Lepisosteus oculatus: one gene and its partners. The protein of the gene in region 1 interacts with the protein of each later gene in a biochemical or structural test. Links are inferred from orthologs where the notes say so. Each region holds a gene or a part of one and is shown in the gene's direction. Other genes may lie near its edges. The genes, in order: snta1, dgkza, adra1d and scn4ab.

Region 1 (7,831 bases):
AAATTTAGATTTAATTTAAACAGCAGGAAATGATAGCTCCAATGGTTACTAATTTATTTTTCTAGTTAGTAAATTATTGTGTTTCAGAAGACAACTCTGAGAGAATACAATGTGAAACATACCAAAGAACAAATAATTCCAGTTAAAAGAAAAGTCAGAATGAGAGATACACCTAAAATGTTATATTATTAGTGATGCTAATCTGTCCACCTACAAGTAATTTATTAGTATAATTACTGTTGTAACTGATTTATACACGTGTTTTCAATGGAGGTAAAGATTTTATTTCCAGTTTATTCGTTTACAAAAAAGGAATTATTTACAAGTTGTATAAAACATAAATTAAATACTGTTTGCAGAGGTTATCAGTCTAACTTCTTAAGAACAACTTAATAATAACTCTTTTGTCGTATTATGAAAAATGTGCTCAATTAGCTATTAGGTTTAGTCGGTGTCTTCTGTTTGTTGCTGATCATAACTTTCTTTTTCATTTTCTTTGAAAATGTATTTCATATCTTTGTATAGGACTGAATTGTAAATCAGCGTAACAATAGCGACACCTCCTGATTTTTTTATGGAGAACCAGTCTATTGGTTCTGTCAAACAAACGAACTGCCCTGTAACTGAACAGGTGAGACCACTATGGTCGTGCTTTTCTTCAATTTAAAATCCACGTAAATTAATTTATGTTTTTAGTTAATGAGGGAAAAATTATGAAATTATATAGGGTTTTTTGTAATTATAACAGGAAAACAGTTCGTAGCAGTGCCAAACTTCAGTTTCTCGGGTAAAACAAGACCAAATGAATTAAACGGGTGCCATGGTGATGAACCCAGAAAAATGTTAAAAACAGAAAATTCCTAACTAAACCACGAATACTAAACCAATCCAGAATTGACAAACAATTCTACTACTCTATTCTTTGTTTGGTATGACCGAATAATGAAGTTTCCATGAAAGGCTGAAAACAGCAAGAAACAGAAAAACAAGTTTCTTATTTTGATAAGCGACGACACCTGAAGACTCCAAAGTGTATTTAAAACATTTTAATTCCAACAAGACAAGAACAACCCAATATATTTGTCACCGAATCAAAAATTTAATTTAACAATAACAGCATCTCACTGAACTGATTCAGACACATCAGTGTGATTCATAATTCTTCACACCCATTGTTAAAACATGTCCCATCAAGAGTTGTTACCACCTGATCACACAGTATTGCGAAAGCTGTTTTGTTGACGCTGAAACCAAAATAAATTTTCATTACATATATCAAATATAAAACGAAAATATATATCGCAGGCAGGACTCTTCGTAAATGTAAAAGTAATAAAATAAAAGCATGTTGTTCCTTGTTCTATAACCAATAACAATAACAACGATAGAAACGGTGATCATGAAGCACTGTCTGTTGTGACGGCATTTTTTAAAAGTGTGATTACATTGCGATACTGAAATACTTCCACGAGGGGGAAATAGATATTCAAAGAGCTATCGCAAAATGCATTCAACCCTCCTTATAATTTACTCCTTCAACGTGAAACATTCGCCGAGGCGGACAGTCCTGGTCCTGGTCCTGGATGGTTTTCTAGGTCTCCTCAAAGCTGCACTCAAACTAGAGCTGGGAGAAGCTGTTAAATTGATTAATTCAGCAATGAATTGATCGAGGTAGTTAAGAGCTGAATTGTAACGAAAACCAGCAGATACACCACCCCTCCAGGCTGTCTAACTTTGAATTGCTGGGATGTACTGTTTGATAAATTGTATGTAACATGAACTGACATGTTGCAAGAAGTAATTGCACTTTATTAGACATTATTCACAAAATCTTTATGGATTCTCTTTGGTATCGAAATAGAGTGTATTACAACAGCAGTTCTTTTATTAATTTAGTTTTGATTAGTTTGATTGTATTGGTATGTTCATCTGTTCACTTCAGTCAGGAATGTCCAGAGGTGATCGTTTAGAGATACAGGGTGTTGATGTTTTCACAAATGACCTACTTATGTGGTAAAATAAAATGTTTCATGTTCTTACAAGTGTATGAGAAAGTTCATAAGGGCCGAGTTGTCAGTTGAACCCATTGTCCCCAGTCACTTTACATGTGAGCGGGATTTCAAGAGTTCTCTGAAACTGAAATAAATTAACATCTGAATTGAGAAGTAAACCCTTAGTAAATTGATATTGCTGCTTGATTGCTGCCCTTGGCCTGACAATAAAATAATTTTACATGCAATAAAAATAATAAAAAAACAACCAGAATATTTTAAAGATTTTATTTAAATCTTATTTGCAGACACTGTTACTAACAAGATGCCATTTACACTGTCTTTATACTTTTGTTTTCATTTGCACAGTATGTTGAATACATAAGTAATCAGATGTGTACTGTTCCTTTTACGGATGAACGTTTCAGTAGCCAGTGCAAATTAGGATTCCACTTTAAACAAGAAACTTACAGCTTTTAAAAAAAAGGATACTTACTGGAGTACTGGATACTTATTTATGTTCATATTGTATTGTTTTTGTCCCCTGTGGTAATTAAGCAGCCGTTTCTCTTCAGTAAAGATTAAGTGCTCAGTCCAAACAACAATTTAATTCAGGTTCATTGTGGTGCCAGTTGGTAATGCTTGGTAATGATGACTGACAAAACCTTCTGGATTGGCTTGCCATGACCAAAGCTGGCTACCCCTTAGCTATTCTACTGTATGTAAATGTACTCTGTTTCCAAAAGAGACTGTCCACTTCATTTTCAGCAGACAGTGCGCCTCCTGTTGAAAGATGATATACAACCTGTCAGGCTCATCCTATAAAGAGAGAAAGGAAATCCTAGCGACTAAGTATTCCATATATGGTCCAGGCGTTCCTGCTATTTCACCTGCTGTCTAGTGCCAGATGCACTTCAATGCTCCTTTAGGTTTTGCACTACTGACTCCTGCTATGGTCTGTCCTTCACTCCTGTCTTCCCCACACAGGACGTTCTCCCCCGAGTGTTCAGTCCTCAGGAATCTGCAGCTCCTTGGCTTGCCTGGCATTTTGCATGGCCTTTCAGACCGCCCAAGCTGACACCCCCAGTTACAGGGCACTGCGATAGCTCCAGAAGTGCTTGTAGGTCAAGGGGTCAACCTCCTGCAGGTAGAGGCACATTGGCCACAGGGTCAGGTAACTCTTTATCATGATTTGCTTTGTGTTTCTGCTGACGCTCACAGCACTGCATGAAATGGCTAACGTCGGTTTGCAAGGTTCTGCAGGCCACACAGCGATTCAGCGACTTTCTGTTGCCCAAACCTAGCTGCCTTTTGACAGAAGAATGCCAAGACAATGTTACCTGTATGGATGACAGCAAGCCTTTACCACCTGTTTCACATTTTGCTAGTTGACCTTAAGTAACTTGAAGCCACCACACAACTGGAAAAACTCTGCCCAATGGACTGATGTCTGACCTATTTGTGGAGGGGAACTTAAGCCATCCCACCTAAAGATATTTATGGCAGTAAAGATAATGTAAATGTCAAAATCGATGTTAATTAAAATCCCTTCTAATGAAACACTAACAAGCTCAGTATATAGACACTGCTAAATTAGTAGCTGCAGAGATAACAACTACAAACACTTTATAACATAAATATTCATAATGGCTCCACTCCTCTCATGCTAAAAAATATATTTCTGGAGCCACCCCTGGTTTTTAGATATGGCCTTCATGAGCACAGTATTATATTTATGTACCTTTACATGCAGCAGCTGAGATGATTCGTTTTCAGTCAGTAGCACAAGTGTAAAACTCTCATTTCGAGCTTAAGTACTGAACAAGTGGTAAATTAATTACTGCTTAATTTCAGAGTGCTTTGTAAAATGGGAATGAGCGACTTTGGTAAATGATCTGACTGGCCTTGAGCACAATTTTCTCTCTCCAGAGCAACACATCCACGTGATAGTGAAAAAGATCACAGACACAGACGATAAATGTGTGCATTATGAAAGTTGTTTCACAGATATTTTTATATTGTAAATTAATATGCTTACAGTATGTAGTACAATTCATGAAAAATAAGTTCATATAATGTTCTGCAATTATTTTCCATTGGAGTGGGAACAGTGCATACGTAGGGCATTTTGCTGCCTTTTCTCTTCTTTTGTTAGGTCTGTTAATACTGCTACTGCTACTACTACTACTGCTACTGATAATAATAATAATAATAATAATAATAATAATAATAATAATAACAATAATAATAATAATAATAATAATAATAATAATAATAATAATAATAATAATAATAATAATTGCACTACAATCCTTGGAATCTCACTTCGAGAAGCCATCTTCAGAGAAAAAAACAGTAATCAGTTTTATTCGGCCATTAAACATCTCTGAACTTTTTCTAAAAGCGCCTACTTCACTGGATTGTCACTATTATCAAAGCAACTTCTAATGCGTAAAGCAGAAAAAGAGCTAAGCGCCGCGATTGCAAGAGACGGAGAGGGGAGGGTCCGTGGTGTTCCTCTCTCTTGGCATCTCCGATCATCACCCCCCACCCCCATCTCTGTACAGGACTGCCAACCCCGTACAGAGTGGAGTTATTCCAGGAATGTGTTGAACATGGCTGCCGGGATGAAGGCGCAGAAAACTGGACTGTTGGAGCTCCGAACCTCCGTGGATCGCTGGATCCGTGTGCTCGCCTGTCTCACGGAGGAAAGCCTGACGGTGAGTCCGGGAGAAGCTACCGTTGAGCCTGTGAACCCCAGCCTGAGCCCAAATCCCCTGGGAGCAGTGAACGGAGATTCAACCAGCGTCGGGTCGAGCTCTCCAGTCCCCGAGTCGATCACCAACGTCAAACGCACGGTGCGAGTCACCAAGCAGGATGTTGGGGGTCTGGGAATCAGCATTAAAGGTAAAAAAACAGAATTTGCTCACACTTTCATTGCTTTGTAACTTAAGACATAAAAGTTTACTTGAAGTTAAACTTCTTTCATTGAAGTTTGTTTTCAAGTCGACAGCTCTTGACAGCCTTCGTTGTGTACATGTAGTTACATGTACAAACTAAATTATGATTATCATTAATCTCCCGAATAAGACAACTGGACGTATGTGTGATATCACATTATCGACTGTTATCAGGTGAAATTCCTTGGGCTCAAGTGAGTGTTGTTTTTCCGACAAATATACAGAACGAAGAAGAAAACCTCGGTCAAAATGTTTGCCCTTCATAACTGCATTTTGTAAGATGACTGGCATTGCATTTGTTGGGCTGTTGAACACGTGAAACAAGTGTTCTGTGACAGCAGTTTCCATTGCTGAAGTTGTTCAGGAGAATATCCCAGTTTAGGAAAACAGGCAACATTAGTTCTAAAACGGCGTGTGAATTGTACAGTACAGCGGATTACTTTGTGCCTTAACTTGTGATTAACATTGCTATAGTTTTACTGCTTAAATATTGTATACAGTTCAGGGAAGATCCTGAAGAGAAACAGTCTGATAATTATTTTACTAAGTGATGATTTAAGCGAGAATTGTAACGTATCGGTTATGACAAATTCATTAAAACAATTGTTTCTCTTAACTCATGTTTTCCTCGCGTGGAACAGAATGTTAGGATTTAATATTCAAATGATCTCAAAACTGCAAATCGAGCCATTCTCCAGATTAAGTGGTCAAAAATTAAGTTTAAAAATTGGTGAATGGAGTACTGAACAGTGAGTTTAAGACCAGTAAAGACGGCATTGTGGCAGGACAGGGCTGACCACTCTATGCGTAAGATAGCATCGAGTAGCCTTCTACTGACAGCAAACATTATAATTTATAATTAGGTTGTAAATATTTTAAGAAAGATTTGCCACAGTATCACAGTTCTATTATTTGATAATGATTGGTCACTTCTTATTGTGTCTGAATCAAAAAGGTACAGAGTTAAAAATAAACTCAGCTATGTGTCCTTTTAACTATGTGGGAAGAAATGAACAGCTTGATTTCAAACATAAAACTAGAAGTAGAAGTGCCACAATACAGTTTTAAATTAAATATAAGAGCATAAAAACATTTCAGCCTTTACAATTACCCATTTGGTAGTTATTAGCTACTTGATCTGTGAATTTCATCCACCTATTTCCTGAGAAGAAACAAGTGTATTGGCTTCCACAACATGGCTGGCAAGCTTGTTCCATACTCCCACAACTCTTTATGAAAAGAAGCGACTCTTGCCCTGAGTGGAGGAAATCACCCATATAATTCTTGGAAGACGCCAAGGTATCATCTTAGACAATGTGGCTGGTAGCTTGTTACTCCCACAAACCTATAGTATCTTTAATGTAATGATCTCCTAAAACACATCACACAACTATTAAAAGTTATTTTTGTTTAGAGAATGTGAAGTGAATTCTTGGCGGGACTGAAAAAATGTGACAAGCTGTTGAAAGAAATCTACACAGGCTGTAACCTTTCGGAATAGAAAGCTAAGTAGAATCACTGGATCTTAGGATAGTGTGAATTTTGTTTTCAGTAGTTGTTGTTTGCATGTGGAGGGGGGAAATTAGTTTGGAAACAGTACTTTTAAAGATTTCAGGTACTTGTTTGATTACTTTTCCCTTCTTATTAACTTTGTTTTCACTGATACGGGGTTTTACTGTCTGGTCCATCATCATTTGTTTCACAAATAGTTTTAGTTATATAGTAAGACAAGTCAAGTCAGATCAGTGATGAGAGGACAGACCGGCAAATCCTTAAACAGTTTGCAGAAGAATTTAGGAAGCTAAACAGACACTTTGGTTGTATAATCTCTTTAACTTTTCTGGTACAAAATTCAGTACCAACTTCAAAACTCTTATAATTTGTGGACGAATAAACACAGATAAATAAAATTGCAAGTTCTTTTGCAACAAAGTTCAGTACAAATCCTTGACATTTAAAAAAAGCAAAGAGGTGATGAAGTAATAATCCATCTATTTTCTAATCTTTTTTCCAATATAGAGACAGGGGGAGCTGGAGCCTACCCCAACAAGCAACAGGCACAAGGCAGGATACACCCTGGATGGGATGCTAGTCTAGCACAGGACACCACAGACACAAACACAGATACAAACACACACTCATTCCATGGTCAAACCTTCTAGGAGACAGTTAATCTATCAGTACTCTTTTGACTGCTGTAGGAATCCTGTTTCAGGACATACAAACTCCACACAGATAGCATGCCAGGAATTAAACCCAGGCACCCAGAGGTGGTAATCCCTGCCCATCATGCCACCCCTTAAAGTAGTAGTAGTACTACTACTACTACTACTACTAGTAGTGGTACTTGTAATAATAATAATTTTCATTAATGAAGATTCCAAAGTTCTTCACGTAAAAGTGCGGACCTAATTAATCCATTGTGGAAAGTTTTAGATTGCACAGCTCAAAGAAGAATTTAGCCAGGACTGTGGGATTAGCTTCCTTAATCTTTCAATAGTGCCTATGGATCCTTAATGATAAGGTCTTCTTTGAAGGACAGCACAGCATCCCAGTACAAGTCAAAGCCATGCAAGCAAGGCTCGTATTCTTCATTTTAAAAATACATTCAGTTTGCAGTTATTCCCTGTAGTCTTATTTTACTTTTCTGAATATGCAAGATTACTGCAAGATCTCATTTCTGGAGCACTGCTTTCTTTTCCCCTTGAAGTTAAAATATAATAGTTTGCTCAGGTGACTGATTTGCTTTGAGGTTTAATCAACAGAATGAGGCTATCTAGCAAAGAAGAAGCACAGGACAATGAAAGCAATGATCTTACAGCGAGATTAATTCCTATTCCTGCTTTTAATGGCCTACCATGTCTGCTGCACAGTGTGGCA
Region 2 (8,301 bases), on another chromosome or scaffold:
TTCCTGAGCGAGAGGAGCAGGCTAATTCTCAGTGATTATAATGTACATGAGCTGCATGACGTGCAAGTTTAGTAAAGTCTGCTGGTAGCCGTTAGGTGCAAGACATCTCCTTGACTGCCGATGTGGAACTGCACTCCAATATTATAAACAGCTGTTGAAAAGAGGCATAGTGTGTGTACACAAAACTTGGGGACTGAAGTGGCAACTGGATTACGGTTAAGTTCAAAGTGTCTCTTCAGATAAATTGGGTGGCACGCCAAGTACATGGTGTTTCATAGGCCTCGGCACCTTATTAAAGCAACCGGGCTGATTTTTCCGTGTTTGAAATGGCGCGTCCATTGCGATGATTGTCCAGTGGGACGTGGTAGCAAGTTTGAGAGCCAAGTGCCAATTTAGAAGAACCTTCTGCCACTGGGAGACCTCAGGTGCTTTGCTGTTGCGGTTGTCATTGGTTTCCAAGCAGCACGTTCTTTTCCACTGAAAGAACCCCCTGTGCAGAGGCATGAAGGGAGCAGTGAGAGAGAGACCCGGAGGCCACCCCTGCTCTATTTTTCCTTCTGCCCTTTCCTTCCCAATGACGACCAGCATTATTTGGCATTGGTTTGGCCAGCTCTCTGCGTCCCTCCGGGCCCTTACCTCATGATTCACGTGTTACCTGCCCCTGCCAGGGCTGGTTTTGACACTGCTGGGGCTCCGGCCCCTGGTCCTGGCAGGCAAGTCAGTGACTCACTGGCGTTTCAGCCTTGAAGTGGAAACAAAAAGAGCCCTTGTGAGCTCTTTCTTAATAGACGGGGCTAAGAAAGCTTCTCGAAACAAAAAAGTCATGCACTGAGTATAGAGTTTTTTTTCCCTTTAAAACCGTTTTGAATAACTTTTTATGCTGTGTTTTGTATGCCATACTTTACTTTACACAGGCAAGTGCTTTGGCTTTGACAGCATATATAAAATTAAGTTGCACATTTAATTTTGGACCACTTTTATAATTAGCTTGTGGATGGATTTGCTTACTTTTATTTGGCTGCAGGGCAGATCTGAATTTCTCTGCAGATGAAATTTTAAATGGAATTGCTCATCGCCAGACAGGAGAATTTCTGAAATCCCCTTTTGGGTGCCTGTTTTTGCATTTGTTCAGAGCAATTCCAAGGTCTCCAGCCTTGTTTTTTTCAGTGACTTTCAAATACAGAAAAATACTGCAGAGTGAGAGTTGTTAAAACCTTTCTTAACCCTCTAAACTACATTTGCAGATTGAAAGATTAGTTTTGATTTCATACCATATGGCATCTTTGGGAACCCTGGCTGGAATTTGTCTGTAGATGAAAAGAATGTAAACATTTTGTAAGATCAACTTTCAGTTTCCAGCCTTGCCTTGGATATAGGCTTATTTGTCTTTTTTTCTGTATTCCTGCTTACCTAAAGAAGATGGAAATCTTTCTGTCACAGATGTGGATACTAGATTATAATAGACCTTTGGGCTGTTTTCAAATCACTTGGGCATTTGGATAGGTAAGCAGGTGTAAGTTTTAGAGTAAATAGACCTGTATGTTTTGCAGTGCAACTAAAGAAACTAGCTGAGTATTTACCTGGTCAAGTGCTGAATTGAGAGGGACCTTAGGTAGGTCAGATTAAATAAACCAACCATTGAATTTACTAAGACAGCACGGTTAACACTCCTACTCTTTTAAACAGTACCGTAAGATTAACAATCAAGATCCTAAGACCTCAGTTTAATATCATCCAAAGGAGAGTGTCCTCAGTCACCATCCTGGGGTATTTGTTTTTTTGGAAATTAGGAATAATCCTAAAGTATGAGTGTCACCTACTGTTCTCCTGACACCATTTAATGTTGGCAATCTGGGTTTTCCTTTTGACATCTCAAATCCCTGTACTGACGAAGTCCAGCCTTGCTAACTGTACTGTCCGGGATCTGGCGATCAGATATTACAAGCAGTTAATAAACTGTGTTCATTTCGTTTTGATGATGAACAGCAACCTCTCTGAGCTCTGGAAGTAATGCAAAACTAAAACACAGCCACCAAGAAGAAACGTCATTTTTCATTCTAAATTCACAAAAGATTCCTATTTTCAAGTACGCTGTTACTGACTGTAGGAATGACTACTGAAGCCACCAAATGTTATTTACAATCTTGGCAAGAAGAAATAAATGGTCCAAACCCAGAGCCCGTTTCACTTTTGAATGTTTAAAAAAGATAACGCAGCCAGTCCCTTTCGTAAGACGTGCTTTCCTTTGCAAATGAATTTAAACCACTTGCACAGCTCACACCTGATTCTGCTTTTCAGCCGGCGACCAGGTGAGAAGAAAGCTCTTCGATTTCACCGATGCTCTCTCCCACAACTGCCACATCAAATGTTCTTGCTGCAAACTCATTTGCGTTTGTCACTGTAGTGTGTTAAAAGTGCCTTCCGACAGGTGCTGAGGGAGGCAGCCTGAACATTCTTCTGTTTCTGCCCAAGAGCTGGATGATAATTAGCATGTGAAGATGCACCTTTTTAAGGTGGTGCAATTTATCCTGTTCATTCACCTGCCTCAGATTTGGAGCTGCCAATTCTCCAACCTCCCTGCCTGCACAGGAAAAGAAACAGCCTTGTCCTATTCACACTGTGAGCCCCAAGCACCGCTGACACAGCTAGGGCCTCAGACGGAGGGCAGCTGTAGCTCTTGATAATAATGCTGCTGGCGCATAGGGGCTTGGTGAACCCTGGGTAATTCTTGGCAAATAACAGAGCCCAGACTCACACCTGTGTTTCCCACTTTCCCAAATTGTTGGGTCCAGTTGGACAAATGTGACCTACTGTAGTGTTGTCTTAAAAGTGCTTGTTTGACATCTGTCTATGGATGTTGTGAGCCTAATTATCTGGCTTTTATGTTTGTGAAAATGATAACTCTGAGGCAGAACGTGAGTTTGTTAGCTGCTTGGTGTCAACATTTGTAAAACCTCTTTATCTACACTAGGGAACTTTTGTGAAATATGTTGATTCTGTCTCTCGGGGAAAGGTTTGCTTGTAAAGGAGCCGAAGAGGCAGCAAAGGCTTTGCAGGGAAAAACAATTGTTGTGACAGATTTCCATGGGGGTGGGGATGTTAACAAGCACATTTTTCAGCTTGGGAAATCACAGGTGAAAATGGATTCTTTCTCTGTGTGCTTTTGTGCAATCTAAAGAGTGATTGCCTTTCCTCTGGTGTGAAATTCAATTCTCCGAACCAGCTATGAGAGGATGATAATTGGTTTTAAAGACATTGAAACCAGGTACAGTACAGTGTGCTATGCATGGAAGGTCATCTCTTGCTCGGGACAGATTTGGCTTTTTCGTATCTCCACCCACCAGAGACAAGGCCACAGTCAAGCCCTTTAATTCACACAGTGAACAAAGAAAAAGAAACATTTCAGAATTCTGTGTACATATGCAATATGAGTGTGTGAATGTGAATATTTGCATGTATGTACAGTATACTGTAAACTGTGTTTTATTCTCTGGGGTAGGAACCTGTGAGGCGTACAGATTTGGAACATGAATTGGAGAGTCATCATCCTGGGTTAAGATGCTAGTTGAACTCTATTTCCCAAGAGAGCTTGCAGAGTAAGATGCCCTATAGAAAATTCTCGAGGGTTGAGGCACATGTGAAACCCATTGTGACGGCCTCAGAGTATTAGAGGATGAAGCTGTGTCTTTCATCTGTGCTGGGTGGGGAAGATCTGTTGGTAGGTAGGAGTCAGGTTTTTGAGCAAGAGTAAACCCTACGGAACTGAAACCGGCAACGAAGAGACTTCATTCTCTGGGAGAGATTTTGTTACGTCAGATGGTCTGTTTTGCTCTTTCCACCTTGCGTGAACTTTCTGCTCTAGAGGATGAGCCTGGCTGTGATTATCAACATCCTTGCCTGTGTCAGTAGGGTACATAATATATCATAGATAATAAGTAATTATTTAATTAGCCATGTCTGTTTCACAATGCCAGGAAGTAGAACTGCTTAAAGAGGCTGCTGTAAATTGGCACTTGTTGAGCATTGTGAAACAACTGGGACTAATTAATATTCATATATCCCAAATTCATAACAACTACAGCTTGCTCTTTATCAAAACAGTATTTATCAAAAACATAACCTGCAAATATGTTTTTCAAAGAACATAAGAGAAGAGAGGTTTTAGAGATTGCATTTTTAAATTCACTATCTACAGATTTTTTTAAATTAAAATTGAAAGGTTTGTATTTTGTAGACATTTAATGAGTGCTTCATTTTAGTCTCTAAATCACTCCATGGGGATGTTACAGAATACAAAAAATCTTCTTCAGTGACAGAAACATGGGTTAGGTAACAGTAAATGACATTTCAGTTTCATCTGTGCTTTGTTAAAGGACAATATCTAAAAGGGATCATAAAACATATTAATTGGCACTTTGTTTCAGATCTCAAACAAGTGCAAGCTTGTTTTATTTTGTTTTCCTTTAAAAATTGTGATGTTTATCTTTAGCTCTATCTAAGAGTATTGTAAGCTATTGATTTAGAACTTAAATAGTCACACACTGCTGTGTTCTTACTATCTCTTGATGTGTGGCCATTAAGATCTATTTGTTAAAATAATGTTGAGATTTCTGTGCCGTATTGATTTATCAATTTCCTTGTGACTGTTGTGAGAGATGCAGATCTATTTGGATTCTAGGTCACTGACTAGACCATAACTGGGTAAACTTTGAGTCTTGATGCATGTTTTTTTCCTTTTCACCAGTGCTTTTGACAGGGTAAAAGTTTGCTTTTGCAGAAGTAACTGAAAGGACTGGTTTACTTGCAGTTGGGGTGCATCTGTTTGTGTGTGTTTGTGTACGTGCTAGTGTCAGGTCACTTATGTGCATGGTTGCTGTAGAAACCAAGGACAGAGTTAATCTGTTGGCTGGATTTGCTGTGCAGATTGAGCCAGCGAGTGACTGTGTGTGTGCATGTGTGCACGCGCACGCGCGCACACTCAACAGCATATAGAGGAAGTGCACTCTGTTACCAGCTCAAGAGTTATTTTAATGCAAGCACTCACATCGTCTCTCTCTCCCACTCCCCCCTACTACGTTTTTCTCTCTGGCTTTTCCACTCCAGCAAGTCTGTTACAGTAGGCCAGCCGTCTCCTATCTCCTTCCAAGAGATTGATCTATACTTTTTAATTCTTTAAATCACTTGGAGTTTACAGGACAAAAGAAAGGTTGGATGATAAACACTCTCTCTCCTCAGAGACCAGGTTGTATGAATATTTTTTACTATTGAGTCTTGTAAAATCGTTGTTTTAAATTGGTCTGGGAATGCATTACTGTCTTAGTTTTTGAAGCCGCAGAACTTATTTCTTTAGAGGTCTCTAATATTTACACTGATACTGTACGTGGCTGTACACTGAATATAGTGACTACCACAAAGATTTAAAATTCTGCAGTGGGACTGATTTAATTTAAATTGTTTTTTTTTTTTTAGAAATGCTTTTGCATCAAGGTACAAAAATATAAAACCAGGTTTGTTTTTATAGTGCAAGCAATAGTGTACTTCTGTGTTTCTGGGATGGTTTTTAGCAGTTCCTCTGTTAATGAAGATGAGTGTCATTGTGCTTAAAGATCCATTTTAAAGCAAATGGCGAAACGCTTGACATGTAGTGCGTTTAGAGCTACTCCTTTGGGGAATTTGGAATTTTACGGTTTGACTTTGTGAAGTATGAAACTGTCATGTTCCACATAGGGTGATGCATTTTTGTTTCCACTTTGATTCTTAAAAAGCCAGGTCCACTTTATCGAATAAGTTTTATTCAAAACAAAGGCCAGTTTTTCTAAGACATCAATCAATGATGTACAGATCTCAGGAATCAGTGTATATTATCTCAAGCGATGTCTATTTGTATCCTTTTGTGTAGCTTTATTGGGACAACTGAGCTGAAGAACCTTGTTCAGGAGAACGACAGGAGTGTCGCTCCTGAGATTCAAACCCACAACCTTACAGTCTCACAACCACTGCTCCCAAAATCAATTTATTATCAAGCTGCAGAGTTCAAGTAATTTCTAACTAATTAATGTAAACTACTAGGTACTGTGTTCAAGTTGTTGAAGATGAAAATCGATACAATTTCAAAACCCCAAAGAAAGCAAATAGTTTGAAATGTTTTTGTGCAATTGTTGTGTGAAGTAATTGTACAAATTTGAAAAGAAAAACCTAAAAACACTGATTCTTTAGTGCTGCTTTAATTCCTTGCAGATGATAATGTTGTGTTTACAGTGTAGAGGATTAGAGATGGGGAGAAAATACTGCAGAGGCCTTTTGTGTGTTTTTTCTTTTCAAACTGGTCCCAATGAAGCTCTAGCAAGAGGGAGAGAAATGCATTCTTCTATTTTTTAGGGCAGGGCAGTGGTTTAGCCTATCAATTTAATAATTTCAAAAAAAGTTCTTTTTTCAGTGCCTGAAAAAATACTTACTGAAATGCTGGTCAGAGAACTGACCTGTGTTTTTTATCCTTGTGTGAGATGGTCACAGTGCATTCTCAAGTAATTAACAGACATCAATTGCTAGGTGTAAAATGTATTCCTTTGTGGTTTATTTTCTTAAGACATAATCATTGTGTCGTAATATGCTTCTTGGTAATTAAAGAAAACTACTTCTGGAAACAGTAGTTTGAGTAGGTTCTGGAAATACTAGTTCTAGAAACACTTTTTACAAAAGAAATAATACTTCCATATGCATTTCATGCATTTTCATGCATTTCATTATGTGTAACTGGCAAATACATTTACTGGTACAGTAGTACAGTATGTATAAAAATAAAGGCTTGAGTAGTTTTTCTGTTGGAGTGTATACCTAAAGTCTCATTTTATGTATAATATAGCTGTAATAAGTTTGTGGTGTCTCACATCTTTTTGGAAAGGAAACCAGGGCAATAGTGAGTTATTCCAGAATATTTTAATGTTGAATTAATAATTTGCACAGGATTACTATACCATGAAATCCCCCAAATATTCAATACTGAGTTGGATAGATATTTATTTTTTACATTTATTGAATAAATGAATAAATGAGAATCATCTGCATATACAGTAAGCTTTGAACCTAAAGTAAGTTTCCTTCACAATGCTAGAGTACAATGCTAAAAGGTTTTCTTTCAAAAATAAAGATTAGAGGTGTGATCAGATAATGCTATGGTTCATCTGGTAAGAAGCGATCTGTTGCTCAGTTATTACGATCGGTTTTCCAAGACCATTTTTAGTACAAAATGCACCCTTCACTGACAGACGTTATGATAATAAAATAACCACAAGTAGTTTGAATAATATAATGTTTAAAATGAAAATGTTTACACGTTTCCCAAGAGTTGTTGTCTGTGATGGCTGACTGGGTTGCAGACTCTTGGTTGTGCTCATTCTGCATTAAATCATGAACTGTGGGCCCTGAAATGTATTGGAAAGTTTTATTTGGTAGGAGAGTTATGCTCTTGGTTTTCCTAGATAATTCTAAGATCAAAGCTTTGTGCTCAGCTTTGTTCCTTTGTATTGTGACCAGCTTTAAGGTTAATCAGGTTTTTTAGTTCCCATTAGTACGGGGAGTGTCTTACTACCACCTCCTCAGAAAACCTTAAGAGAAGTGGAAAGCATTGTAAGATGTGCACAGAATAAAATATAATAGTGGTAAGGGAAACTTTTTGGTTTGTGGCGTTGAACAGATCTTGTCGGGGAAAAATCAAAGGACGAAATTTGGCAGACACATTTAAAAGAAAAAGGAATGCTTATCTACAGTATGTTCTCCAGATATTTTCCAAGTATTACAAAATATTAACAAACCTTTTGTGGTCTTGTATAGCCCATGATTGGTTCCATTTTGGCAAACGGAGAAGGTTTGTCTAAGAGCAAGAGATCGTTGCAGTTTCCGTTTTTCTGTTCCAGTTCCACCCCACACCAAGTTTATAGAGCTTTGCTAATGATTAAACCCGAGATCTTCCTGCTGACAACTTTTTGTGCACCCGGACTGAATTTATTTCCGAAAAAGAAATTGTTTGCGCACTGCAGAAGGAGGAGAGTTACTCTTTCAAAATGCATCCGTCTCCGTTGCTGTTCACTCATTCTGCCTTGGAAGACGGAGGTTTGTGTTCTTCAGGAGAATTTCCCTGTGTTCATAACCCAGATCTTCATACAGTAGTTCTCAAGGTAGGTTTTAGTTGAATGCCCTTTCTGCGGACATGCAAAGCCCACAGCATCCAAATACAATGCACTGCTCTTCTCTGACAAATGAACCCTTTTTTCTGCCTATCATTAGAAAGTTGTGAATATTAAT
Region 3 (8,399 bases), on another chromosome or scaffold:
ACTCTCCAATATGCCATCACAATGGCAAGATAAACCTGCTGCAGAGGAGTCATTTTTCTGATTTCAAGCATAACCCTTCATCAACACAATTCTGGATTTTACTGATTTTGTTTTAGAACGTGATCTGATGACATAAGAACAAAAAAAAAGACTACAAAAAAAGATTAGGTAATTTGACCAGGTCTGCTTATTTAAATGTTGAAATATATTGATCTAATCACAATCAGCTTTTCCTTTCAGAATAATCATTGGTTTCTACATAATTACCGGATTGCGAGATTCAGTCACCTACAGTATACCTCCTCCTTTCAGTGCTAAATATACTTCTTATATAGTAATTTTCACTTGTGTCCTCATGTACTTGTGTCATTGATGAGAATGAAGTAGTCTCTCAGGCTAAATGTGCAATACCATTCAGGGTTTGAATGCTTTGATTAAGTCTTTTCATAATTTCCTCTCTTCAAGGCTAGAGGCTGCGAAAGGGGTAATTTTGCTTCGATATTTTGTTTAAGGTCGACTCTTCAAAACTGCACCATTTCTTAAGCTGAACTCTGTGACCTTACTGACGCTACACCAAGGGCCACACTCACTTTACTTTGCTGAATTTGGGTTAATTTCTTTTACTGTAAAAATACTTTTCTTTGTAACCACTTAATGCAAATTATATTAGATTAAAAAATGATTACATTTTCTATTTATTTACTAATTTGAATGCAGGATTTGGCCATTGATATACAGTACACACATCACGCTCGTAAACCCCTCCTTGGACGCTCCAGCCCTTCCTTGTCTCCATCTCCAGCACCTGCTTCTGGTTCCTGCCCCATGTCCTATAAAAGCCAGACGTTCCTGCCAATCTGGTCTCAGCTTTGGAAGATGGACGCCCGGAAGCCCACCTCCCCGCGAGTCCAGGAGCGACTCGGCAGCATCGGCTTCAATGGCGTCCTGACCTTCTGGGTCCAGGACTGGAGCGTCTGGTCCCGTTATCCCCCTTTTATTCCTCCAACCCTCCACCGGATCCCGCTCCTGCCTTTTAACTTTGTTTGTCTGTCAGGTTGGATCTCCCAGTTTTGGACATTGGAATATTCTCGGATTTGCCTCGGACTCCTTCGGACTGTTTGCCTCGGACACATCCCTTGAACACCAGCACACCTAGAATACGCCCCCTGTTTTCCTTCCAGCCCCTTTGTATGCTTCCCCGTGTTTTCCTCACTTCTCCCGGATTGTGCTGTCTGCATAGGGTCCTGAAAGAACGCTTCGTGACAACATATATCCTGTCATACTGTACACCTTTCCAAATTCAAGTGTATAGTTTTCCATGGTTTCCAAACACATGCTGTTTAGTCATGCAAGTGATCCCTACCCAAAACATTTGTGATTCCACAGCTTGAAACAGAAATGCCAAAAGGACATGAAAGATGTACTACTGCAACAAAACTGTGACTTCCTGGTCAAATGTTTTTTTCTTATCCTCCAAACCCATTCAATTAGGCTATTTTTGAGTTTTGAGTCTTTACATATGTTACAGATAATCTACTGTACATTAAGGGCCAGAGCCGGCTTTACTTCTTGAGCAGGCTCACGTCCTTCAACGTGTGTAGTAAGATGCTCCATATGTTCTATCAGTCGGTTGTGCGAGTGCTATTTTCTATGTGGTGGTGTGCTGGGGCTCTGGCATTAGAGAAGGGGATGCTAACAGGCTGAACAAGCTCATCAAAAGAGCAAGTTCTGTCATTGGGTCTGATCTGGACCCCTTGGAGGTAGTGGCTGAGAGGAGAATGGTGAACAAGTCTCCCATCCCCTTCTATGACACGCTTGTGAGAATTAAAAGCATGTTCAGCAATAGACTGATCCAACCATGGCACAACAGGGAGCACTACAGGTGGTCATTCTTACCTCCTGCCAAAAGACTGTACAACTCATCCACTGTGTGTCTGGGCAGGGGCACCATTGGCCTGTTTTGTGTCTAAACATTAATTCTCTGTTAACAGCTGGTTTTCCTGTTTACAACTGATTTTTATGCAATATATGCTAGAAATTGGTGCAATATATGTATAATATGCACTACATCTTTTGTGTACTGTACATTCTGGTTTGTTTTGTATCTTCTGTAATGTGAGCAATTCTGTATACTCCATTAAAACAAATTACTGCACTTCGCACTGACTGTACTCACTGTATTGTATTGTTTATTATTGTATCTTTTCATTACACTGTGCTGTGTTGACACTGCAATTTCCCTCAGGGGATTAATAAAGCTATCTAATATATCATGTTCCATTTTGTGTTTGTTGTATTTTGGGAAATAAACAATTAAAGATAAACACGTGGTAACATCCATCCATCCATTCTCTAACCACTTCATCCAATTCAGAGTCACTGGGGAGCTGGAGTCTATCCTTAAAAACAATGGGTGCAAGACAGTATACACCCTGGATGAGACACCTGTCCATCACTGGGCACACACAGACACAGACAAATAGATGCACTCACACTAGAGCCAATTTTGATGTATGACTTATACCGTACTTAAAAGACAAAAACAGAGCACCAGGAGGAAAGCCACACAAAGGGAGAGATTTTACCACAGGATGAGAGAAGGAGTTGTAGTGAAGATGCTATGCCTTATTCTCAGTAGAACTTTTCAGGTTTTATCATGTGAACATCAAGGATCAGTGAACTTTCTTATTGCTTTAATTATATTGGGTAAATCTTCACCAGACAGTTAAGTGAATTACTGTTGGTGTGATGGATTCGCACAACAATACATTCAGAGACAGGAGAGAAAGCGTTGTCCATGTTACATAAGAAATGTATGCACACATAGCCCTATCAGAAAGGGTAACTAAAAGAAAATGCAACAGAATGGAGAATGGACTGTAATAACTATGCTGTTATACCTGGGTTAGCCAGAGGTCGCAGATCTCTGTCTCCTCAGTAACCAGACATATCAGCAAGAGGACAATGTACTAGAACACCACCCTGGGCTGTTCAGACTCTCTCGGGTCCGTTGTCCCTACCACCTTCTTCCAACAAATGGGTGCTAATTCCCTCAAGTCCAGGAAATACAAAAGAGAATTTGCCACTTATCCAGTGCTCTGTCATTGAGGTACCATCCAACCCAGGTAGTGTACTAAGCATTATTAACCTGTGTCTCAGAATGACACCCAGCCTGAATCCTACCTGAAAGACTCCCTGTCTGTCCTGAACCTGCTCAGCCTTTCTGTTGTCGCCAACCACCAGACCAGGGGCACATTTCTTCACTTGCAGCCTGTATTCCCACTGGAGAGTGTAGCCTAGATCAGTCCTGAAAGCTGCGTTCGCCATCTTTCACAGATTAGTCCCGTCTGCGACTGCCTTCCGATCTGCCTCAGTAATCCCCATCCATCCTTGTGAATGTCCGAGCCTTCGCCGGGATCAAGCTCTTGGATTCATCAGCCTGTCAGCAAGATGCCGCTTTTCTTATCCGGTTGCTACATCAAAACAAACACATTTTATTTATGTGAATGTAGTGAGTGTCAACACATGAACGATAGAGTTGTGGCATTCTAGTCTGTAGTAAAAAATATCAGAATCTATTAATCTAATCTATTCAGTCACATAATGCTCTATTTCTTATCAACAAAAGAACTCTCTATCACCTTACCCCACTAGGACAAAAAGAGAGCATGAACATGGAAAACTTTATCTAGGATGTAGCAACAGAATCACGAGACTTAAATTTTCCTGTACTCATTGAGTACCCCACTTACATTTCTCTGATCTGATAGGAACTAATACAGCATATGAGCTATCTGGGTGAGAAAATAGTGAGGAAACATTCAAATTCAGATCACACTTCAACCACTTTGCATGAAAAAAATCACTGTGTTGAAAATTGATACGTGGTTGTATTGAATAAAACAATCAGCCTTAGACATGTACTTTTCCAAATGTGTTGTATCTGAGCTCATTTTCTGACTTTTGCTTCCTGACTAATTGGGTATATTAGTGTCAGTTGCAGTTTGTAAATGTGAAGGGAAGTGTCATCTCTGATCACTACAGCCCTTTCCCTTGTTTTATAAAAAGTATAACTTATCGTGCATATGCTGAAATCATAAGCTATATCCTAATCTGTTACTGATTACGACACAATCAGGCTAGGTCTAAACAAACAAACTAAAGTCTTGCATGCCTTATACAGTACCTCCAGCATTTTCAGCATTTTATCAAGTGAAAATAAGGTGTAAAGGGCATTACACAGTGCTGTTTAAAAATTCATAATGGTAACTATACCCACAAGTAAAAAATTCTAAATTATTATCATTAATTTATTTTCCTGGTGCCCAAACAAATAATTACAGTATTACTCACTGTCCGGACAATATTTCAATGTGGTTTTGTACTTCCACTGCTTATTGATTTTGATTTTCTTTTTCCTTTGAACAGAGCCAGTTCCTTAAACAAATATGGCATTTTCTAAATACCTACAAATGGTGTTTTCAAAAACAAAAACCTATGGCTGCCATTGCCATGAACTCATAACTGCCAAAAGGGAAAAAGCTGCTGTACACCACAGTAGTAACAGATCTGTTTCAGTTGTATCATGAAGTCAAGTTCATGATGAAGACAAGGCTGGGGAATTGTGCCACTTAATAGTGAATAGCATGATACCAAGTGAGACATAAAAAAGACAGGGGATTAAACCTTCTGTAAAATTTAGACACAGCTTTTTTTAGATTAATTTCTACTGCTATTTCTGAAGACTTTTTCTGTGTCCTGCTCTCCAGTGAAAAGTCTTTGCAGTGGTGCAATATTTCAGAAATATTATTACTAAGAATTCAAGAAAATGTAGGAAGGCAAAATGTTCATAAACCTCAACCGTCTTGAAGAATAACATCCTGAATGAATTATAGGACTGTGTGTTCCTTTAGATTACTTTCCCTCTTAACCTTTCAACATGAGCCTCTGGTGGCTCTTAAAATAAATGTCTGTTTTGCCAGAGGGATGTGTGCAGTGTTTTGAACAGCAGCTGCGTACCATCAATGGGAATAGAGGTTAGCCTTTCGTTAGATCAGGACAGTGTAGTGGCTTAACAGTGTTTTTTCCTTCACGTAGCGACGACTAGCTAGGCAAATCGTTACGTGTTCCACTTGAGCTCCGAGTATCGAAACTTAAATCTGCCTAACTTTTTTAACTACATCACAGAAAGAGAAACATAGATGAAAGAAGTTTTAACGCGATTGTGTAGAACATGATCTGTAAATTAAGAATGTGCTGTCCTCTTGTGGACTTTCGTTGAACAACAACAATTATGTGTCGCGTCACAGACTACATTCCTGGGAGGAGGAGACAGTGAAATCTCAGCCGCAGCTCAGTAATTTGGGTTTGAGTTTTCTCACAGTGGATGTCGTCTGTGGAATATCAACAAACAGGGCAATACTCTTCACACGGCAGAAAACAAAACGTTAAAGGAATATCGTTCACAGAACTAATTTAACTGTCACTAATAATAGTAATGGAAAAACAGAAAAAAAGTTGAAATAATCTAAGAGGTGAAATGATCTTCAGAGTGAGATATATTGCTAAACTGATGATTTAGAATTTAACCTTTTTTGGTGTTTTTTTGTAGGGGGGATGAATGTGATGACGTTGCTGCAAAGCTTTCCAACAAACATGTAAGCACAAGTATTTCCACTCTCCAGTGCGACAGACGCACCTTGAGCGTGCGTTCACAAGTTCTTGCGTCTTTTCATATCTTTTGAATTATTTCCATACTGCAGCTCCACAGCAGTGCTTTAATGGTCTCATTGTGTCTCTGAACTAACTTAAAAAAAACGTTTTTCTTTATGGAGTTTCAAAATGACTTTTTCTGACTCGAACAATGATAACGATAATGGAAATTACTCCGGAGGCACCGGTAATCTGTCTCTCGCGGAACAACCTTTTGCCAACATCAGCAACAACACCTCCATGGAGCTGACATTGGATTCTCAGGCAATAGGGATAGGGGTGTTTCTGTCCGTTTTTATATTATTCGCGATCGTGGGGAACATCTTGGTGATACTTTCTGTGGTATGCAACAAGCACTTGCAGACAGTCACCAACTACTTTATCATTAACCTCGCCATAGCTGATTTACTTTTAAGTACTATTGTGCTGCCTTTCTCTGCCTCTTTAGAGGTGCTCGGATGCTGGGTTTTTGGCAGGATATTCTGCAACATCTGGGCTGCGGTGGATGTGCTGTGCTGCACTGCATCTATTATGAGCCTGTGCATAATCTCGATAGACAGGTACATCGGAGTGAAACATTCCCTGAAATACCCTACTATAATGACAGAAAAGAAAGCGGTGGTGATCTTAATAGTTGTCTGGGTCTCCTCTATGGTTATTTCAATAGGACCGCTGTTAGGATGGAAGGAACCGCCGCCGACAGACGAGAGCATCTGTAGCATCACCGAAGAACCGGGCTATGCCCTTTTCTCGTCGCTTTTCTCCTTCTATCTCCCGCTCATGGTCATCCTGGTGATGTATTTTAGGGTCTACATTGTAGCCAGGAGGACTACTAAGAACCTAGAAGCGGGGGTGAAAAAAGAAAGGAATAAGTCAGTGGAAGTCGTCCTTAGGATTCACTGCAGAAGTGTCCTGGAAGAAGCCGCCGCAAGCGCTAAAAGCAAAAGCCACCCTTTCCGAAGTTCCCTGTCCGTGCGCCTCCTGAAATTCTCCAGAGAAAAGAAGGCGGCCAAAACTTTGGCCATCGTTGTCGGGGTGTTCATCCTTTGCTGGCTACCTTTCTTCTTAATTTTACCTCTAGGTATGTAAGAAATCGTTATTTTGTTTTTGTTTGTAGTAGTGTGCGGACCAGGGCGAAAAAAGGTGTGTTCTTGCGTTGAGACTAAATGTGGCGTGAGAGTGTGGGGGATTTTATCGATTAGGTTACCCAGTCTAACAAAACTACTAACGTCTCTTTGTGTAAACAAACGTGCAATGTCGTTTCAGTAAAACAAACAAAAAAAGTGATTACCTATCCGTGTTAATGGACGCTGTCAGAAAGTAATGCAGGCGCAACTGATCTCGTTCTTATTGATGCTGCCTTGATAAAAACGTAGAAAAAGCTAAACGGGAATTTTGCTTTTCTTTTCAAAAATATAAAATAAAATGTGTCTTCGTATTCCTGCAACACCAGCAATTGACACCAGAGAACTGATGCGGTGAACAAATTATTTTGACTAAATTACAAAAATTCAGTAAAAAAAATACTTCATATTAACTAAAACAATCGGATTGTAGAGTATGCTTAGTTTACAGTGTAAAGTAGCGTTTAGTGCTGTATATGGTTCAGAAGTGCTTCAACATATCATGTTTTCTATACAATGCAAAAACAGGTTTAGATGATGGTCATAAAGATGTTTTTCGTTATTAGTCACTCTCCAAATAAAACCAGCTATATAGATATAACCAGGTTTCGTTATTCTTAAATAGAGATTCAAGACTTAATTGAAGACCAAATGAAAATTAAAACAAAGTGAGTTGGCAAAGCTCTTCTCTTTTTTCCCTTTCTGGCAAAGTGTGGGAAGAATTAATGGCTTATTGTTTAAAACAAGTCCACTACTCAAACTCACATTTCAAGGCATTCTAGACTGTGAATCCAGTAATTTCAACAGTCTGTTAAGTTCTATGGCTTTTAAAATCTATCCTCTGTAAATGGTCACATACCTCTATCTAGAGAGATTGTATTTGTCTTAAAGTCTTGCTGAAGTATTTGCTTTTCCCAATATCTTCTGGTACAATTAACTGCCACACTTGACAATTATAAAACTTTAAATGTATGTTCTTAACAAATTTAGCAAATATCATTCATGTTAGGTTTTCAGTTCAGATACTCTTAGAGTATTTACGTTTAGTTTACCAAAAAGTAATATTAATATATTTTCAATTTAAAACATATAAATCTCACTGTTTTCACAATCAGTTATATCATATTGCTTAACTGTAAGGAATAAGACATCAGGATACTCAGCTTTCAAACTCTTGAGATCATGTACTGTATTATTACGTAATTTTATGTAGTCCTATAAGAAATTAAATGCATCTGTATAACCGAGATATATAGATATTACATCTATATACTGTATAACATGTAAAATTAGGATTCTAATTATTCGGTTATGTCTTTCATCTTATTACTTATTATAGACACTTTTCCACTGGTTATTTTGGGTCATGAGGGAAAATTTCTATCCTGTGTTCCCATGAATAGAACTAGGTCTGGTTCATTAATAACTTATGAAACAATACATCAATGAGTCTAATCTGAAAATTCCCTTGTTCTAAAATGTAATGACTCTCCCTTTTTCTCATAATGGACACAGATTGTGTACTTGAAGACATTGCACACATTAATACATTAGTGAATATCA
Region 4 (8,093 bases), on another chromosome or scaffold:
TTTCTTATCTTATCACTGTGAGGATAGTATATGTCTTCCAAAGTTTTCTGGGCTAATATAAAATGGAGTCTATTCAGGATACGAACTGACATTTTCAGAAAAGGTGCAACTGTGCAACTGGTCTCTGCCTTAATTTGAAATTCAGTTTCTATACATTATATATTTACATTATAGAATTTACATTCTCCAAGGGAATCTTCTGGGTGACTCCAAGAGTTACCAATCTGATCAGTCTGAAACCTGAAGTTGATAATTTGACATTTTGTCATGTGAGGCATATGTCTTAAGGGCACACCAACCAGAACCCACCACTAACCTTTAAGAAAACAGAAGCCCACTCCCGCAGGGCTGCTTACTTTCTAGACTGTGTCCAATTTCTTAAAATAAGATTGAAGAATTATAGAAAAAATAAAGAAAAGTCAGACCTGAGAAAGAGGACCTAAATCAGCTAGCAGAACAAAAGTGGGGTATGTGATCTCCTACTGATTTGCTTACTTTTGTTCTGTTTCACAGTGTTGATATTTTTTCAACAATAATAGAAAAGGTATTTCTATCCTGACTGTTACTGCAGTAGTATCCAGTGTATTAAAGCATGCTACCCTCAGAGCCAAAAACCTAAAATTGAGTAAATTAGCTTCCTGATGGTAACTCCTAGCTCACATTCCATGCCTAGCTACTGTAAAACAACTCCTATATTTCCTATATACATCCATATTCCTTGGCACATCCTGTGCAGGATCATGTGGATCATCCTTACTGGGATCCCAAGCCTATGGGCTAAGTGAAGTCTTCTTTCCGAGCATTATTCCCTACCTTCCTTGCGAATTGTGGCCTTTGTGACCTCCAGGCTACAGCAGGGATGTTTTTATTCTTACAGGGACTGGTACTGCTCATTTCCTCCAGCCCCACAGCTCTTTTTTCCACTGTCGGATTCCACGGCGGTCACAGATCTCCGCAGCAAAAGCAGGGCTGAAAAGGCGACTATTGTCCAGCATAAAGCATGACTTCATCAGCTTGCCCCCCTAACAAACCGAACAAAGATATTGGGTGTTTTCACGAGCGCTGAAAACATTGCTGGTATCAACAGTGGTTTGAGCTATAGGCAAACGGGGGTACAGAAACTGGTCATGCATGAGGCTGTTACATGTGTCTATCTTCTAATTCCAAGCCAAATTCAGCATTTTATTGCAGTGTGTTCATTAATTAATCAAGAGTATGCTTGTGCAGTCCTGCTTCATCTGCCATTTTCATCTTTGTTTATAAGATTGTGGAGACATTCTGTACTAATTGTCTCAGTTCTCCAGGCCCATTATCCTCAGACAGAAATGAAGTTGTTGTTTTTTTTACAGTATCCATGCCACGCTATGTTTTCAGATACTTTGCGATCTGCTCCTAAAAACGTAGTCCTACAGTATACGTGATTGACCTGCTCTTTCTTGGCTCCTCTCATCGAAGCTGCACACATAATGCCATTTTAGTTTGAAGAAGAAAAAAATTGCAGCTAGCTAAAGTGCTTCAGTATCACTGCTGTTAATGGGTTCTAATGAACCTGATTCAGACGGACTGCAATGAGGATGTGTTTTGAAATACACAGGAGGAAATCTGCGAGCCAATCTAATTAATGACCCCATAATGACCCTCAACCCTGTTGCTTTTCCAGGTTCCTACCTCTAAAGTAGGAACCTTCAGTAAGTGCTCTCCAAATTTTGTACGGACTGGCCTGCGTCTCATTTCCCTTCCCATTTCAGTAGCAATCTAATAAAATAAATGCCACAATTTTCCGGAGGAGTGATGCACAATTCTGCAGATGAAAGCTTTTGCTTGCTTTGTTTTCCGGCCTACTATTTCGACAGCCGGAAGCACATTTTGCTTTTGTTTGATTTCTGTCCCTTCTGTAAATTTTTCCCAAAAGACACACTTTTTTTTTCCTTCCCGTTTCTTGATTTGCTACAGGCATCACTGTCCCCGAACAGACACAGGCGAGCCCGTTTCACAATTGAATCAGAGGTGACTTCACCATGAGGGATGGATCTCCCTTTTAACACCCTAAATAGGGCCCAGCAGCTTTCTGATTGCCAACAGGACAGGCGTTTCCAGCCCTGTCTTTCTCCTCTCCTTTAAAAGCTCAGACACAGGTAGATTCCAAGCATTCAAAATGATACATGAGCTGATGCACCTGGGCAAAAGTAATTCTATTGGCTTTGTAATTTTATCTAGGTGTCGCATATATACTGTTTTAGGTATATAGATAACACTGTAAAAGGTTCTGTATTTATTTGTGAAAAGAAAAGAAATTCAGACACAGGTAGCTACTTAGACCTAAACTCCAGAACTCCAGAGGCACTTATTAAATATCGTTCACAACTTTAAAAGACCCCCTTTAGTAAGTATCTTCTAAGTCTGTACCTTCCCCTTTGGCTAGGAGAATATCTTTAAAAAAATAACCTTCTGGATATAAGCAGCAGCCTTTTTATAGACCACTAGAATGGCACGGTGTAGCCTAATAGTTGTGGGAAAATAACTGTGAGCTGGCCATTTCTGGCAGAAAAAATGAAAGCTTAACTCGAAGCGACATGTTGGCCGGGAGGGGCAGGCGGAAGCGAGCGGGTTTTTCCCGAGTAAAATAGAAAGTGGGAGAGAGGGAGCCGGTAAGCCGAGTTGGAATGCGAGGCTGTTTATCGGTGCGATGTGAGAGCTGGAGGTTTCAGAGCGGCAGGAATGAGCGCAGTCATCGGCCTGCTGAAACCCGACGCTGCTGGTGATTGCCCGCAGCAGCTGGGCGGCCATCGTATCTGACCCAGCGCTGGCTTTTCCCAGCCCTGCGCTCTCCCCGAGCACATCTTCCAAATCATCCAAGCCCACTCTGTCGTTTATTTGCGCCCTCTCGCCTATCAGCTCCTCTGTACCTATTTATTACTATAGACCTGTGGATTTACGAGCCCGCGTCTGTGTCTCTCTCTAACGCTTTATTTTATTTTATATATAAAGTCCACGGTAACACCTTGCTTACTTAGGTATAGTCACCGATGCAAAACGGGCTTCAGTACCTCAATATTTCTGTAACTTCCGTGCAAACTAAGATTACTTTGCATCAGCACATTACTGAAGAAAGTAAGCAGATGAGACCACTCGCCCATTTAAACTTATTGGACTTTTAGCAGTTAATTGATCTGAGGATCATGACTAACCAGTTCTTTAAAGAAGCCTGGATATCCTTCTTGAAGTCCTCTCTGTTCAATATCAGTTCTTTTAACCTGTTAGTGCAGGACACTTCCTTTCAGTCTGAGAATGCAGTTGGTTGCTCTTCTCTGGACAGATCCCAGAGCAGAAGTATCTTTCTCTACGTTTGAGCAAAATTATACACAAATTCTACAGGAAGTCTTTTTGTTATGTAGAGTTATTAATTGCATATGTATACTTTATGTTCTTTTTCTGTCTGGTATCATCTGTAAGCTTGACTAGGTGCTAGCTGTACCAGTGTCTAAATCATTGATACTGTACAAATCATGATGAACAGGGATCCTAAAACAGATACTTGTGGTACTCCACATACAGCAAATTAATTATCAGCTTAGAGACATATCTGCTGTATTAAAAAGGGAAAATCCAAGGTATGGTAATTCCTACCTAAAGCGATGTATTTCTTTTCAATTAACTTTGTTGATGGACTGTTTGGGTGGGTTTCCGCTAAGAGGTGAGGTTTCCGGGTAGGTGAATTGGCTCCTGGGAAAATTGGCCTAAAGGGTGAGTGTGTGTGTATCTGTGTGTGTGCCCCACAAAGTACTGGGGTCCTATCTAGGGTGTCACAGTCTGCCTTGCCTGTGACACTGAATTGGAAGAAATGATTAGAAAATGGATGGCTTATTAGTAAATACATCCATCATTATGATGGATAATTGACTGGCCAGACTGACCTCTTAGTGAGCCCAATAGGATGTAGAGTGACATTGACCTAGTCCAGAGATGTTCTCAGAATCTATTGTTGTTTTTATCTGCCCTGTACACACTACAGCAATTAAGAAAGAGCCTACTTATTTTTAGGGAGGCATATGGCGGGCTTCCAGACAACTACTGAAAAAGAAAAGAACACTGCTTCTTTGTCTGTGTTCTTTCTGTGGAATTAAAATCAGATTATGCCATAAAAAGGACCAGACTCTTTAGGCTGATGAGTGGGGCCTTTTCTCACAGTTTCTGGCGGCCATGTGCTCTTAAATTGAACAACCTGTTTGAATAACACGTTTGGCATTCATGATGTCTTTGGCTTGACTTGGATAAAAGTATTGCTGAACTGTGAAGACATCCCACAGTTTATACAGTAAAAAAGAAACACTTGCTTTTTGTCTTAAGAAACCAGGCATGTTAAGTGTTAAAATCTGCCTTTGTCTGGGTGTTCAGAACAGCAGAAAAGGCTCCTCTCCCAGTCAATTCAGTTTAGAGGTGAAGAGGAACTCAAAGATTAATACCTCAACAAAATTAACCTCTAGAAAACATAGGCACATGCCATGCTGTGGACAATTCGAATGAGGCGAACAATCAACTGTCACAAAGAAAACAAAGAGGAAGAACTAAAAGTGAACTTTCTGGGAAAAGTTCGGAATGTGCTGCACTGGGGGGAAAAAACATTGGAATATTGATTTGAGCTTCATTTCTTTCAAATGCAGCCAGAGGGTGGAACTTAAAATTTCATAATCATTGCCAATGAACAAAAGGACCCTTTAAATTCATTTTTGAGGGACAGAAAGGGAGCATTTTTTTAAATAGAGACTGCGGGAAGGAACATTCACTGATAACTGAAGTCATGGATCCGGACAAGATGTCCAGCAAATTGTTACTAGAAGTTTGGGAAAAGAATAAAACCACTTCTGTCTGGAAATGGAAACAATTACGATTCCCTCGCAGGCTCCTGTAAGTGACAAGATTTGCTAACAATCTTTTATTTGAGGTAGTTCAAACAGCACAACCGGCTTTGCTTTTCCAAAAATGACCCTTCATTGGAAGGTTCATTTGTTTGCCCTTATCAATTTTCCTTCATCTATATATTTTAATATTTTAGGTCATATTATAGTTTGAGCTGAAATTTGATGAAAGAGTCAAAGTGCAGGACTGGATTGGGACTGAGAATACAGATAAGCAACACTCATGTGTAGCTGTTGAAAAAAGTTTTGCATTTCAGCTGCATGATAACAGAGTAAAAACAATTTGCTCTTTCTTTTTTTTTTAAAAAGCACTCACAGTCATGAACTTAAATCTGAAACCTTTTCGCCTCTTCCAGAAATAAGTGCATTCCGAACAAAAAACCAGATGGACAGGAACTGTTTGCCTGTCTGAAAAAGGACTGCGAAGGAGAAACAGGCACTCTGGTTGTTGCAGGTTACAGTGTGCAGTACAATGTACCTGTATCTGTCACTGACATAGGAGCTTTAGAACTGAAATTCATTTTGTTACTTTCATTATTATTATTATTTTGTTTAGACACCCTTAGCCATATTTGACATTACATACAGATGCAAAAGGAAATAATAGATATGATCACAAGTAGGATCAGGTATAATAAAACTTCGGTTAAGCCAAGGACAGGAATTCCAGTATTGGACGTACAATGCAAGTGTCACCCATAAGCAAAATTCAAAATGAATCTTTTCTACCTTGTCAATATGTTATTAATAAGCTTTCATGAAGGTGAGTCATTTTAAGGATTTGCTGAGTTGTTAAAAAATAGCACAAACCGGTAAACGAGGGCAATTATGGAAACATAATACAAGCTCTGGTGTAGCTGGGTCTAAGAGGGGGTAATAAGAAGAGATCAGCATTTGGAAGGTGCCGAGAGAATAAGATGGCAGTAAATCAGATCCATTCAGGCAGGCAAGGAGAGTGCACAGGAGAGGGGTTGCATGCGAGAAGCAAGGAAGAGAAAATGGTATTGAAATTGAGCTGGAAAGGGTCTGGTCTTTAAAGACGCTCTGCTCAGGCTGCGAGGGAGATATCTGTTTGCAATTTAACAACGGGAAAAAGGGATAACCATATTATCCGTTTAGAACTTCTTCACCACGTCAACACCCTGGAAGAAAATGCTCTTTCGCAGTCAAAAATAAAACGGCCAGCTTTCTTTCTTAGGTTGAATCATTTGAGGAATTTAAAAATTCTGTGCATAAAAAAAACTCATCTGTTTTAAAATAGCAGTTTTACAGTTGGCGTTCCTGCACCTTTGGTTTGATATAATAACTTGCTTTGCATGTATCTTCTAATTACTTTCAGCTGATAGATAGGGCAGGTGTGTTGCCTTCACACACACTTGACAGGGGCAGTAATGTCATTGTTGTCTTCTCTCTCAGTTATACATTCAGTCACTCCCAGGCTACCTGTATTTACAGTATGTACTGCACTACTCCTGTTGATTTCTGGTCGCATGCTGTCTTAACTTTGTGATGTTATCTTTTGCCTCCCCCTGGATTTGCATTGTAATGACCTCATTGCGAAACAACTGTTCTGCCCTGTCCCTGCGTGGTATTACTGTACCTTCATGCTGCTCTTTATTGGATATTGATGGAATTATTCATATTGTCTTTTTTGTTGTTGTTATGGTTTCTGTTTTGGTTTTTCGACTTATTGTATATTGTAAACAACTGCAATTCTCCCTGGACAACAGTGTCCGCTAAGCAAAGAGTAATATTTAAAAACAAATAAAATAGACCTATCCTGAGAATCTAGTCCCCAGACCTTCACTACAGCCCTAAAACCCTCAGTTCCTTCTCATTTAACATCTAAATTGTGTGTGTGTGGGTGTTTGCCCCACTGTGAAGGACTGGCACCCTTTCCAGGGTGCAGTTAACCTTGTGTGCTCTACCTGCTGGGTTAGGCTTCCATTTAGGATAAATGAAATAAGGATATATTAAGGGCTTAAGATGGATAGATGAAGGAAATCATAATAAGTAATTGTTAGACATAATGTGCTATACAAAATGGTGAAAAATGGCACATCACTGCCACCATATACTTTTCTCAATGTAGATTCCTGCTTGTAGGGATAAAATGTAGTCTCTCTGTTGCTGGAATTGAGGTGAAATGTTTTGGGTTTGCCTCCGGGGAACATCTATGCTGTGGACTCCCTACAGCGTTGAACATAGTCAGTGCCCTTATTATGTAAATCAAATTGCCAGTGAATGTATCCAGCTATTCGGATGGACTGGTTCTTTGCAATGGGATGCAATAAGAGGCTTGGAATCTGACCTTCCTGAGTGTTTTGATGCTCCAAGGTTTGGGCTTTGTTTTGTCTAAGTCCCCCCATGATTAGAAGAGGGTAGACTTTGGTTTAGGGGTTGCAAACGCAAATGAGAAACAGTTTTTAACACTACATTATGTGTTTGTAAACCTGTGCTTTATGAGCACAATTTAAGTGTGTTAATAATTGCAAGTAGAGGTCAGCTGGCATGTTTATTGATGCTGTACTGATACTGTTAGTGAATATCTATTTCTCCATCCATTTTCTAGCCAGTTTGTCCCATAGACGATTGTGGGGGGGCTGGGACCTAACCCAATAAGCAAGGCAGGATACACCTTGAGTGGGACACCAGTCTATTGCCGGGCACACTCTGACACAAACACACCAGACCAATTAACCCACCAGCTTCTCTTTGGACTGTGGTGGAAAGCAGAGCACCCAGAGGAAACCCACACAAACACGGGGACAGCATACAAACCACTGAAGAGCCATGAACAATTTCGATGGGAAACCCGCAAGCCCTTATCTGAAGTGTGATTTATAGCTCGGCTATACACTGGGTGTCCTCCTTATAGAGACAAGAACTCAGAACGAACGGGGCGTCTGACAGGTGGAACTCATACACACCTTTGTCTTGCAGCCCTTTGCTGAGAGAGCTGCAAGAGGAACTGCCCGCGGTGCAGAATGCGAAGATGGCGAACCTGCTCCCTCCGACAGGCCCCGAAGTCTTCCGTCGCTTCACGCCGGAGTCTCTGGCGGAGATCGAGAGGCGCGTCGAGCAGGAGGCGGCTGAGAAGCAGAAGAAGCAGCACGTAGAGGTGGCCGAGGAAGACCTCCCCAAGCCTGCCAGTGACCTGGAGGCTGGCAAACCCCT

What was found.
Region 2: the proteins of snta1 (region 1) and dgkza form a complex in vitro, tested with the Homo sapiens proteins (2 studies listed by BioGRID and IntAct, with this or other methods). The link is inferred for Lepisosteus oculatus from reciprocal best matches to the Homo sapiens genes SNTA1 and DGKZ.
Region 3: the proteins of snta1 (region 1) and adra1d interact in a test that uses a peptide from one of them, tested with the Homo sapiens proteins (2 studies listed by BioGRID and IntAct). The link is inferred for Lepisosteus oculatus from reciprocal best matches to the Homo sapiens genes SNTA1 and ADRA1D.
Region 4: the proteins of snta1 (region 1) and scn4ab interact in a test that uses a peptide from one of them, tested with the Homo sapiens proteins (2 studies listed by BioGRID and IntAct). The link is inferred for Lepisosteus oculatus from reciprocal best matches to the Homo sapiens genes SNTA1 and SCN4A.

The regions. Positions count from the first base shown.
Region 1 is NC_090711.1:15,463,777-15,471,607, forward strand, and holds the start of snta1 (alpha-1-syntrophin), read left to right. Parts: upstream 1-4,534; 5' UTR 4,535-4,606; coding exon 4,607-4,898; intron 4,899-7,831. UniProt on the Homo sapiens protein: Adapter protein that binds to and probably organizes the subcellular localization of a variety of membrane proteins. May link various receptors to the actin cytoskeleton and the extracellular matrix via the dystrophin glycoprotein complex.
Region 2 is NC_090716.1:4,642,646-4,650,946, forward strand, and holds the start of dgkza (diacylglycerol kinase zeta), read left to right. Parts: upstream 1-5,019; 5' UTR 5,020-5,242; intron 5,243-8,301. UniProt on the Homo sapiens protein: Diacylglycerol kinase that converts diacylglycerol/DAG into phosphatidic acid/phosphatidate/PA and regulates the respective levels of these two bioactive lipids.
Region 3 is NC_090696.1:7,476,320-7,484,718, reverse strand, and holds the start of adra1d (alpha-1A adrenergic receptor), read left to right. Parts: upstream 1-5,388; 5' UTR 5,389-5,841; coding exon 5,842-6,793; intron 6,794-8,399. UniProt on the Homo sapiens protein: This alpha-adrenergic receptor mediates its effect through the influx of extracellular calcium.
Region 4 is NC_090723.1:7,791,418-7,799,510, reverse strand, and holds the start of scn4ab (sodium channel protein type 4 subunit alpha B), read left to right. Parts: upstream 1-4,681; 5' UTR 4,682-4,798; coding exon 4,799-4,905; intron 4,906-7,859; coding exon 7,860-8,093. UniProt on the Homo sapiens protein: Pore-forming subunit of Nav1.4, a voltage-gated sodium (Nav) channel that directly mediates the depolarizing phase of action potentials in excitable membranes.